2 linked regions of the Daphnia pulex genome follow. The protein of the gene in region 1 purifies or fractionates together with the protein of each later gene. This does not show direct contact. Links are inferred from orthologs where the notes say so. Each region holds a gene or a part of one and is shown on either strand. Other genes may lie near its edges.

What was found. Proteins that work in one complex are often made in the same cells at the same time.
Region 2: the proteins of protein patched-like (region 1) and sonic hedgehog protein A-like purify together in Drosophila melanogaster (affinity purification with western blotting; 3 studies listed by BioGRID). This does not show direct contact. The link is inferred for Daphnia pulex from reciprocal best matches to the Drosophila melanogaster genes ptc and hh.

What each region holds. Positions count from the first base shown.
Region 1 is NC_060018.1:5,084,529-5,089,666, forward strand, and holds part of protein patched-like, read left to right. Parts: intron 1-2,544; coding exon 2,545-2,737; intron 2,738-5,138. UniProt on the Drosophila melanogaster protein: Segmentation polarity protein. Acts as a receptor for the hedgehog protein (hh). Associates with the smoothened protein (SMO) to transduce the hedgehog signal leading to the activation of wingless, decapentaplegic and patched itself.
Region 2 is NC_060017.1:3,411,075-3,416,212, reverse strand, and holds part of sonic hedgehog protein A-like, read left to right. Parts: intron 1-3,603; coding exon 3,604-3,865; intron 3,866-5,138.

The sequences.
Region 1 (5,138 bases):
CCAAGCCAAACCTGCACACATGTTCACATGGGAAATTTTTCATCCTTCTGTCAAAAAAAAAAAAAAAGGAAAATGTAGTTGTTGTTCGGGGGGTTCCATATGGTCCTGTCGTTTCCCCCCTCTCCGAAATCAGACACCCCCCTTCCACCCCTTGAAGAAGAAAAGTTATTTTCCAAAGTAAAAATTAAAAAACAGCTGCTAGGTTCTTTTGGCGGCCTTTTGTGAAGAACATACCTGATCACGCAGGTTTTTTCTTCTTCTCTTATTTTTGGCTGATGATGACGTACGGCCAAATTGTCACCCGAGGAAGAAAAAAAGAAACAACATTGGAGAGAGAGAAGTTATAAAATTCTTGTTTGGACCACCCAACGGAAGGGAACGAAGGTACAGCACACCCAAAGTTGGGCACAAGAGGAAGAAAAGACAGCGGGGTGGAGAGAGAATTTACGAGCTAGAAAAGAATGTTTTTTTTTTTTTTTTTACTTCTTCTTCTCTTTCTTTTCCTTCCCCCCTTTCTTCTTTGGTCCATTGTATCCAGCCAGCGTACCTGAAAACTTTTCTTCTTCTTTTCATTTGTGCGTGTGTGTTACTCTTGTAGAGCGAGAAGAGAGGCTATCGGTCGTCCCTTTTCTCAATTGACCCGTCAAACTCGTTACAATAGGAAAAGATTTTTTCTCTCTCTCCTATTCTTTTCCTTATTCTTTTCTGACCTCCATCTTCTTTTTTTCTCTCTATTATTCCATCACTTCCGACGATTGCGTCTCCCCATTTGAATTTTGGAAATCCAGCGATCAGGGGGTGGTGCGCATAATAGGCACTTTATAGTGCCCAGTACAGTAGAGAGAGTAGAGATATCGTCGACACACAATACGTTTAGATCAGTTTTTTTAAAAAGGAATGCCGTCTTCTTGTTCTTCTTCCTACCCAAAACATCAAGGTCAGCCCTGCTTCTGGGTTCTTCGACAAGACAAGAGAGACCGGCTGGTAGTAGTTTCCCTCACACACACACACACATAGAACCCTCTTTCGGTCGTTTTTTCTTTCCTTCTTCTTTGGCTGGTAAGAAAAATACAGTTTTTTTTTTCAGTTCGTTTCTTAGTCTCTCTCTCTCTCTCTTCTGCTTTCATCCGAGTTTTCTTCTTTGCGTTTACTTTGCTCGCGGGGAAGACTCATGCGGATGCTATATACTCTCTCTCTATTCCTTTTTTATTCTTCTTCATTCTTTTTTCCTTTTCTCTTCGGGGCCGGTTGAGCGCGTTCGGCCACCCAGTGAGACACGCAACACATGCACTGCACGTCGCCCCCTCTACACACACACACAACGGGAAGAGAAAAAAGAAGTTTTTTTTTTTTTTTGTTATTTTGGTCGGGTTGGCCATTGATGGCAGAGAGAATCGAAATGGAATAGAGTAAAGAGAGATAGATATATATGTGTGTGTGTACGTGTTGGCTGGTGGATTGTGAATCCATCACGTCACTCTGGAAAATCAGTTGGATCTGATTTTCTCCCCAAAAGAAACAAAACTTCTTTTTGTCTCTCGAGCGTTCCGTTTTGGTGTTTCGGTCATTTTCGGTCGGTCGGTTGTTTTGGATAGCCAAGACAGCCGAGAATGGAATTTGCATTGGAGAAGCCTTAAAGGTCCCTAAGGGTCCAGCAATCGGCCACCCATAGCGAGAGAGAGAGAGTCCCAACTCTGAAGGCTGCTGTTTTATAAGCGTATCGTTTTAATTGACTTGTTGGCCGTGATGTCTTCACTCGACGAGTCAAAGAGAAGCAATAGAAGGAGAGAATGTCTATGTATTTATTCAAAAACCGGTCCTAGAGCTATGGCCCATACGATTTCGGCCAAAAAAGAAAATACAGCCCCGTCTTTTTCTTCTTTCTTTTCGCCTGGCAATCGGTAAAAGCGTAAACGTTAGATTGGCTAGACAAACTCGGGTGTTTAAAATATGAGCAACCTCTCTTTTTGAAAAAAAGAAAAAGAAAAAAAAAAAAACATTATTTACAGGAAGCTCATTAAAAACGGCGCCGCAGAGCCGTTCGGGAAAAGAGGTTGTTCAACTTGACCACTTGAACACTCTGAATTCTTCTTTATTTTTTCTTCTTCTTCTTTTTGGACTGAAAGAAAACATTCTGGGTGGGACGCGAGAGAAAATCCCGCGTGATTCCGATGAAAAAAAAAAAACTCCGAGCCAAGGGAAAAAGAAGAAGACAAACTTTGAGGTGGGCAATTGCGTATTCGGTCGGCGTTTCTCCTGAAACATTGTGAGATGTTGTTGTTGTTGTCTATACGCTGGAGAAATGCCTGCGAGTCTCTCTCTTAACCTGTGATTATCTCGAGGGGCTTTTCAAGAGTGGAGGTATATCGTTAAGAGAGTCGAGGGCTTAATGGCGGCCGAGTTGATGGCTCTATCGGTCGGTTGGTCGGTCGGTCGGTCGGGAGAAGATGAAGAAGAAAGAGGAGGGTTTTGTGTGTGCCCTTGAACTAATGGAGTTATTTTATTTTATTCTTTTTCTCTGAAAAATGTGTTGATCCTGCACAGAGGGTGGCCGTTTGGAGAAGGAGTTGGCCTACATGAGACGGACGCTGGGCGAAGGAGCCGGCTCGACCCATCAGATCCTCATCCAGACGCCGAGTAACGGCCAAGGCGGCTCCTTACTCAGCCGCGACGCGCTGCTGGCCCACCTGCGGGCCGTCCAAGCCGCCACCAAAGTCACCGTCGAAATGTTCGATACGTAAGTGTTTCTTTCTTTCTTCTTTTTCTGGCCAGCGCCGCCATCTTCCTTTTTTTGTTGTTAATTTTGTGTATAGACATAAATGCGCCTGTGTGTGTGTGTGTATATATTTATGTACATACACACACACACACACACAACACTTGGTGGAAGAATTTGGAAGAGAGAGAGTTTCTCTCTTTTTCTTTTTTTTTTTTTCATTTTTGTTTGATTTTTCTAATCTGGGGGCCCCATCGGCCGTCGCCTGGGTGGCCTCTCTCCGGCGCCGACTGAATGAGTTTCCAGTCTACTTTTGGCTCGCAAACAAAACACAATAACCGGTTCTTTTTGAAGTATTTTGTTGTTGTTGTTTCTTTCTTTTTTTCCTTCCATCCATCCATCGTCTTCTTTTTCTATTGAAGAAAAAGAAAAAAAGGAAAAAATTTCTATGTGTAGACTTGTGAATATTTGAGCCCCATCATCGATTTAACCCGACGAAGATGAAGATATCTGGCTGCCCTCCAAAACGATGAAGACGGCCCGCCGCGCTGTAATAAAGTCGGGCCCCGACTTTTTCAAAAAAGAAAAAAGACACTGAAACAGAGATGGAGGGTTGGGGGAATAGATGATGAAAATGAGCACAAAAAGAAAATGAAGAAGTTGAAAAAAAAAGAAAAATTCTCTTTTAAAAAAGAAAAAAAAAAGAAAAACTTAAAGACACCGGCGGGTTCCGCGTTCAAGTCTGGATCTCTTCTTCTTTTTTGTTGTTGTTTCTTTGGTCGAGAGTCAAAAAGAGAAAAAACCGTTTGGGTGGTCGACGTCGAGACCCTCCACATGACGACACGCACACAGCTCGGTTCTTTTTTGTTTCTCTCCTTCTCGCCCAGTTTTTTGTTGTTGGACGGTTACTCCAGTAAAGTTTGTCGTCACCAAAGAAAAAAAAAGTTCATTCACTCAAGAAAAAAAAAAAAAAAAAAAGAAGTTGGAATGTGAAGAAGCTTCTGGTTATTCAATATTGGCACTGGGACTCGCACGCCGTTTGTGTGTGGACAAGTCCAGGAAGACAAAAATTTTTGTTAAGAAATAATTCCAAGCCAAAAAGAAGAAGAATAAGGCCGTGAGAATGAAATCAACGAGCTCGAACAGTATCGGTGAACAGGCACAAGAGGCAAATAGTAATAATAATAATAACAAGTTGGACAAATAATAAAAGAAAAACGGACGACGGACGCGGAAGGACCCCCTCTCGAGCAGCTGAGAGAATGTCGCCCGTGGAATTCCACGGCGGACTTCTTTTCTTTCTTTCTTTCTTTCTTTTTTCCAGGCTTCTCTATATAAGAAGAAGTAGTCTTGGATCAGATGATAGAGGGGAGAAGAAGAAGAAGTCGGCTTGTTTTTGTTTTTCTTCCTTTCAAAAGAGAGCGGCCCGATGCAGGTGTTCCAAGGAGCTTGAGAGACTAATGTGAAAACGTTGAAAACGGGAGAGAAAGGGGAAAAGATGGAAAGAAGAAAAAAAGAAAGAAGGGCGCAGCTGTATATATATATATATATATCTACTACACGAGTTGAAAAAAGAGTCCAGCCACACACACAGAATGACTGAGAAAAGAGAGAGAGAACCCTTTTTAGGGCCGGCGCCTAATGACCCAGCCAGTCGCTGCCGCCGCAGCAGCAGCAGCAACAACCGAGAGAGCTATAAGCAAAAAGCAATGGGCTCTCGTGTTTGCTGAATACCAAAACAGCTGGATCTGTCCGACTTGACTGGATGGAGATGTTTTTATTCTCTCTCTCTCTCTCGAGTTCTCTCTCTTGTTTAGTTTCAAACTGGCGACTCTCCTTTTAATAAAGAGATCTCGCTCACGGCTTTTTTCTTGTTCCTTTTGTTCCTCCCGGACGCTTTCACCAGCAAAATCTACACCAAAAACAGCCGCTCCGAAAGAAATGCGAGAAAACCGGTCCAGCAGTTCCACCCCCACACGGGCAGCACTCACGAAGCGACACAATCAGGAGTCCGATTTGAGATTATTATAACACAGAAAAGACACACAAAGTTTGAGATATTAGTCGCTCTGTTTGAATTTCACGTGTTTTTTTTTCAAATCTGTTCAAAGAAATGGGAGGAGAAGGCGGTCCGGTTAACAAAGTTCACCTATCTGTTGGGGTGATATGCGATATCGGACATTCTCTCAAAAAAGAAAGAAAGAAAAAGTTTTGTTTGGTTTTCTTTTATTATTTTTGAGTTGTTGTTTGCCTTCCGGCAGACGCTGGTCGGGCGGGCTGGACGGCGAACGAAACGGACAAGCATAATAAGCATGAAACGAATGAATAAACACCCGAGACAAGACAAGCATCTTCCTTCTTTTTTTGCTTCTTTAAAAACAAAAAAATTCCCAGTTGCCCAGTTTTTGCCTGGGCAAGTTGT
Region 2 (5,138 bases), on another chromosome or scaffold:
TTGCAAACTTTTTTCTGAAGGGTTAATGATTATTCCAGTCTATAGTCCCTCCCACCTTGTCAATGCCACATGGGAGACTATTCCTTTTTTTGTTTTGTTTGAAAGCCGGACCGCCGCTAATGATACGTTTTGAGTAGAGACAACCAGACATATTTTTCTTCGAATTCCTTCCGACCGACCCTAAAAGAAAAAAAAATCTGGAACCCCCCCCCTTCCATATACTACCATATAATAATAATGAGCTATTCCTTATTTTTAAAAGAAATAAAAAAAATCAGTTGAATTTTTTATTGAATAAGGGAAACTGCCATCGACTTTTCATTTTGTGTCAAAACATCGGCCGTTCAAACATTCGAAAAAGTGGGAAAATGGCTTTTCTTCTAGCGGCAGTGTGTTGGTCTACCTTGTCATTTGGAGTCCAGCCGCGCCTCCCTCCCATTTGCCCCGGCGCAGTTTGTCCAGCCGCCCGCTCTTATCTCCCTATCCCCCATGTCTCTCTGTACATTTGTACAGAGCATTTTTCCTTCAAAAAGAAAGAAAAAAAGGACCGACAACATGTATACTGTAAGAGTTTAGCCCCTTTGCTGCGCGCCAGAGAGACAAGAAAATGTTTAATAGTCAAGTCATGGCCCGATCATTCATTATATTACCACCACCTTTTTCTTTTCCATCTCTCCCCCGTGTGCTGGAAGAAAAACTTTGTAGACACATTTTTTAGTGGCTGGCCTACACGTACAGTGTACTACAGTTCTCTTTGAAGAGAGAGAGAGGGGGGTGAAATGAAAGCAAGAATAAAATCAGAACGAATTGTGTGGGCGGAATTATATACATTTATGTACGGCGGCGGAAGGGATCCGGAACCCCCCCAAATTTCCAGCTCAACAAAAGGGTCGGGTCCAGCAAGCGGCTTCTTATATGGTCCCTCCATCTCTCCTGGAAAAACAAATTTTGTTTTCTGGTCTACACACGCCAGGGGGTTCCGTTTTTACTGGAACCCACACACACACACACGCCTTTTTGTGAGAGGAGTTGTGTGTCTGTCTGGATTTCGGTCGCTTTTCATTTGTTATTTCTTCACCCTTTCTATGGCCGGTGTTGTTGTTGTTGTTATTAAATCAATCCGAGAGTTGTACCGTATAGTAGTAGCCTTTTTACGGGCATGGGGACATTCCTGGAATTCGCCCAGTTGTGTTGTGTCCCCCAGGAGAGAGAAAAGAAGAGCGGCGCGTCTCTGCCGCCCGGAGAAAGGCAAACGAAAAGTCAACGCCGTTTGTAATGGGAACACCCGCGCGCGCAACTTCGGGACAATAACCCCGCGACGATGTCGCAATCCATCTCTCTCTCTCTCTTCTCTTTCTAGTCTGCGAGATTGAGGTCGATGAATCTTTTGACATCACATCGTCCGTCGTCTTTTCCCATCGATTTGTCCGTCTGAAGTAAATTCCCCAAACTAAAACAAATTTTTATTCTTTTTCTTGAATTTTTTTTCTCGTTTCGACAAAAAATTCCTTCCGTCCCTTTTGGGATCCTGAAAATATAATACAATAAGGCACTGCTGTGGCAGCAGCACTCAAACACCTGGCGTCCGGCTAATAACGAGCTCGCGCGCTTAGACGGGCCAGCCAAAAGGGCGAACACCAATCGGAAGATGCGCGCACAGTTCAACAATAGAAAAGAAAAAAAGATTCCAGCTCTCGCTGTTTGTGGAATCGTCTACATAGAAATTGAATAGGCTTTTTTTCTTTTTCCACCCTATATTAGTTTGAAATTCTAACGTCCCTCTCTCTCTCTCTTGTGTACGTGCTGCCTCGGCTTGTACAAAAGAGCAATTAGCCCCCAAAGTCCTCTGACAGCTGGGGCCTCAGTTGACCAGCCCAAAGGTTTTTTTTTTCTTTTTTCTTATTTTACAACAAACATTCACAGAGTCACAACTCGTATCCGTACAGAAAGAGATGCAACACAAATAACCTATCGGGTTTCTTCCAACTATGCAAACACCGTTGGCCAAAAGGGAAAAACAAGAAAATTGTGTCGTCGTCGGCGTCGTCGCCTTATCGGCCCGTGTTTGTGCGCGGTCGACTTTTTGGTATTTTTTTACCCAAATTGTTTTCAAGAGCCGCGCGCTGTTTGAATTTCGTACACTGGCCACTTGTCATCGCCCCACTCGAAACCATTTCTCGGTTATGGGGGGCGGCGGTAAATGTGTGTTATCTCTTATAGATTTTCTATTCTTTCATCTCCGTGTTGTTTAGACAAAAGTAAAATACCAAACGGAAACTGCTGGTCGGAAAAAATAAAAAAAAAAGTTCCCCCGTCCCTCATATCCATCGGTGTGTGTTCAGTAAATGGACGGCCAGAGAGTCAAACTCGTTTAACAGCTCTTCAAAAAAGAAGTGAAGGGAAAAAAAAGAAAAAGAAGACAAATAAAAATCTAAAGGAAGAAGAAGAAGAAGAGGAGAGAGGAAAAAAGGGATGACAAATCACGCGCGCGGCTCTTCTTCACCCAGTGACTCCTCCTACCTTCCCGCTTTTAAAAGAGAGAGAGAGAGTCGAAGAAAGAAAACACTTAAAGAACACCGTGGGAAATCAAAACATGCGAAGGTGGGAGGTCGTGTCTCTCTCTCTCTGTGTGTACCGAGAGAAAAAAGAAGAAGTTGAAGGCGCATAGTCGAAGAAGGGCGGCAAATAGCAGCCGAGTGTGTATATATCTAGCTATATCTTTTTTTCTTCTCCTGGGCCGGTATGCCGGTTCTTCTTTACCGTACTAATAGCATCGTGAGAGTATAGAGAGAGAGAGAGAAAGACAAAGATCAAACAAAATCTCTGGAAACATCAATGTGTGTATGTGGACGGACTGTCGCATCATTAATAAATATGAGAGAGAGAGAGAAAGTAGGCAGTAATAGGCTTATATATATACGGATACGGCTTGTGTAATATTTGATTTACATTTATATAGCTAGGGGGGAATTCAAAGGAGCTCGCCGGTTTGTTATTAATTAAAACATAATGAGATGACGTCGGATAGTTTATTTTTAAAATAAAATCCGACCACCAAAAACGGCGGAGAATTTTGTTTTTTCTTTCTTTTTTAAACAAAACAAATGAGATGATGAGATTTATACACAAGAAGAAGAAGAAATAACACTTTTTGTTTTTTTAATTTGTGTTTCTTTTTTTTCTTAACATTTTCTTCTTCTTGTTGATCGAAATGATGCGGGGGGCTGCTGTCCGGTTTGGAAATCGTTTCTTTTCTGTTGGGCTCTGTGTGTGCGGTGCCCGCGCCGCTCTTAATTGATTCCAAAACGTGAACCGTTGAAGCGAGAGCACACGGGCGCCGAGTCCGCAGGTGGCTCTCTACCTCTTCTTTTCATTTGAACACCTGCATCACACTTTACACAAATCTCTTGTCTCGAGGGCCGGCCGGCCGTCCAGAAAGAGAGAAAGAAAAAAAAAGAGACGAGGTCGTTCATGACCTACGGGACGAAACGTTCACTTTGTGTTTCTTTTATTTTTTAAAAAATATTTTTTTTCAAATTGAAAGCGCCAAATTTGTTATAATCAGATTTTTGTTTTTTGTTTTTGTTTTCCCCAATTTTCCAGAGATGCAAAGAGAAGCTTAACACGTTGGCCATTTCGGTGATGAACCAGTGGCCGGGCGTGAAACTGCGCGTGACGGAAGGCTGGGACGAGGAAGGCCTGCACGCGGCCAACTCTTTGCACTACGAGGGACGAGGCGTGGACATCACGACGTCGGATCGCGACCGCTCCAAGTACGGCATGCTGGCCCGTCTGGCCGTCGAGGCCGGATTCGACTGGGTCTACTACGAGTCGCGGGCTCACATTCACGCTTCAGTCAAATCAGGTAAGACCAAAATCAAATCATCACCCCGGAATAAATCAAAAAGAAAAACAAAAACAAAAAAACAAAAAAAAAAGATTCGAGGCTCCCGAAAACGAACGACCGAAAGAGAGAAACAATTCAACCAAAAAAGCTCGAATAGAACGAACCGGATCCGTCTTGATGGATAGGGCTTGTGCTATTGTCTTTCCTTCTTCTTCTTCTTCTTCTCTCTTCTCTGACATAGTCGCTCGTCGACCCTGGCTCTCTTCTTCTTCTCCTTGGAGGTTTTTGTTGATTCGTTATAAATACTCGGCTGGAATCACAAAGTCGAGGCCGCATCTCCTCTTCTTCTTCTTCTTCTTCTTCCAGTTTTCTATTTCGTTATTGATTCTTCTTCTCGGAGAGAAGAAGGGAAACTCTATAATACGCGCTAGACGACCAACCGACTTACTACTACCTACGTTTGATTTTGTAAAAATCGGGAGGGTCGTGAAAGAGGGAGGCTACGATAGAGAGGAAGGTGGTGGTTTCACGTTCATTTCTATTTATAGAAGTGCCATCATTCTTTCAATGCCCGGGACGCGCCAGTTGTTGTTGTTGTTGTTTTATTTTGGTTTCCTCTTTGGGAAAGAAAAAAAGAAAAAATCTTTTTCTGAAGTGAAAAGTTCTAATATTCTTCTTCGGGCAACTCCTACTTTGAGCGTCTAGTGCGTGTACGTGGGAGCCCGGTTCGTTGGACCAGACCAGCAGCCGGAGCTTTATTTATTTATTTTTTATTTCATTTTCATCTGATGGAAAGAGCAACCATTTTCCAATCGCCCTCCAGCAGCTCCGACTCTCTGGTTAAAGAGAGAGAGACTCTCTTTTTTTATTCTCTTCTCTTCTCTGAAATTCTGCGTCCGTCTGGTACTTAAAAAAATATATATACATATAAGATGCTGGACTTTGAGAGAGCCAGCAGCAGGGCCTTTGCACACGTCTATTATATGTACAAACTCTTTTGTCGATTGTCATCGCACTTCTCTGAGCGGTAAATCCCGCAAAGTCACGGTCTTCGTGCAGAGCTAATGGACACCATGTGTAACCTAATAGTTTTCCTTATTCTTTTCTTTTCTTTTTTTCTTTTCTTTTATTTTGTGAGAAAAAACAAAACAAAACAAAAAAAAAAATTTAAGCATATCATCATCAAATGAGGCAACTGAGGCGAAGATGATGGCAACTTGCTGACGTATGACTTCATTTCCCAATGGATCGGGACTTCGGGAGAGAAAAATCCGCAATTTGATGTATCTAA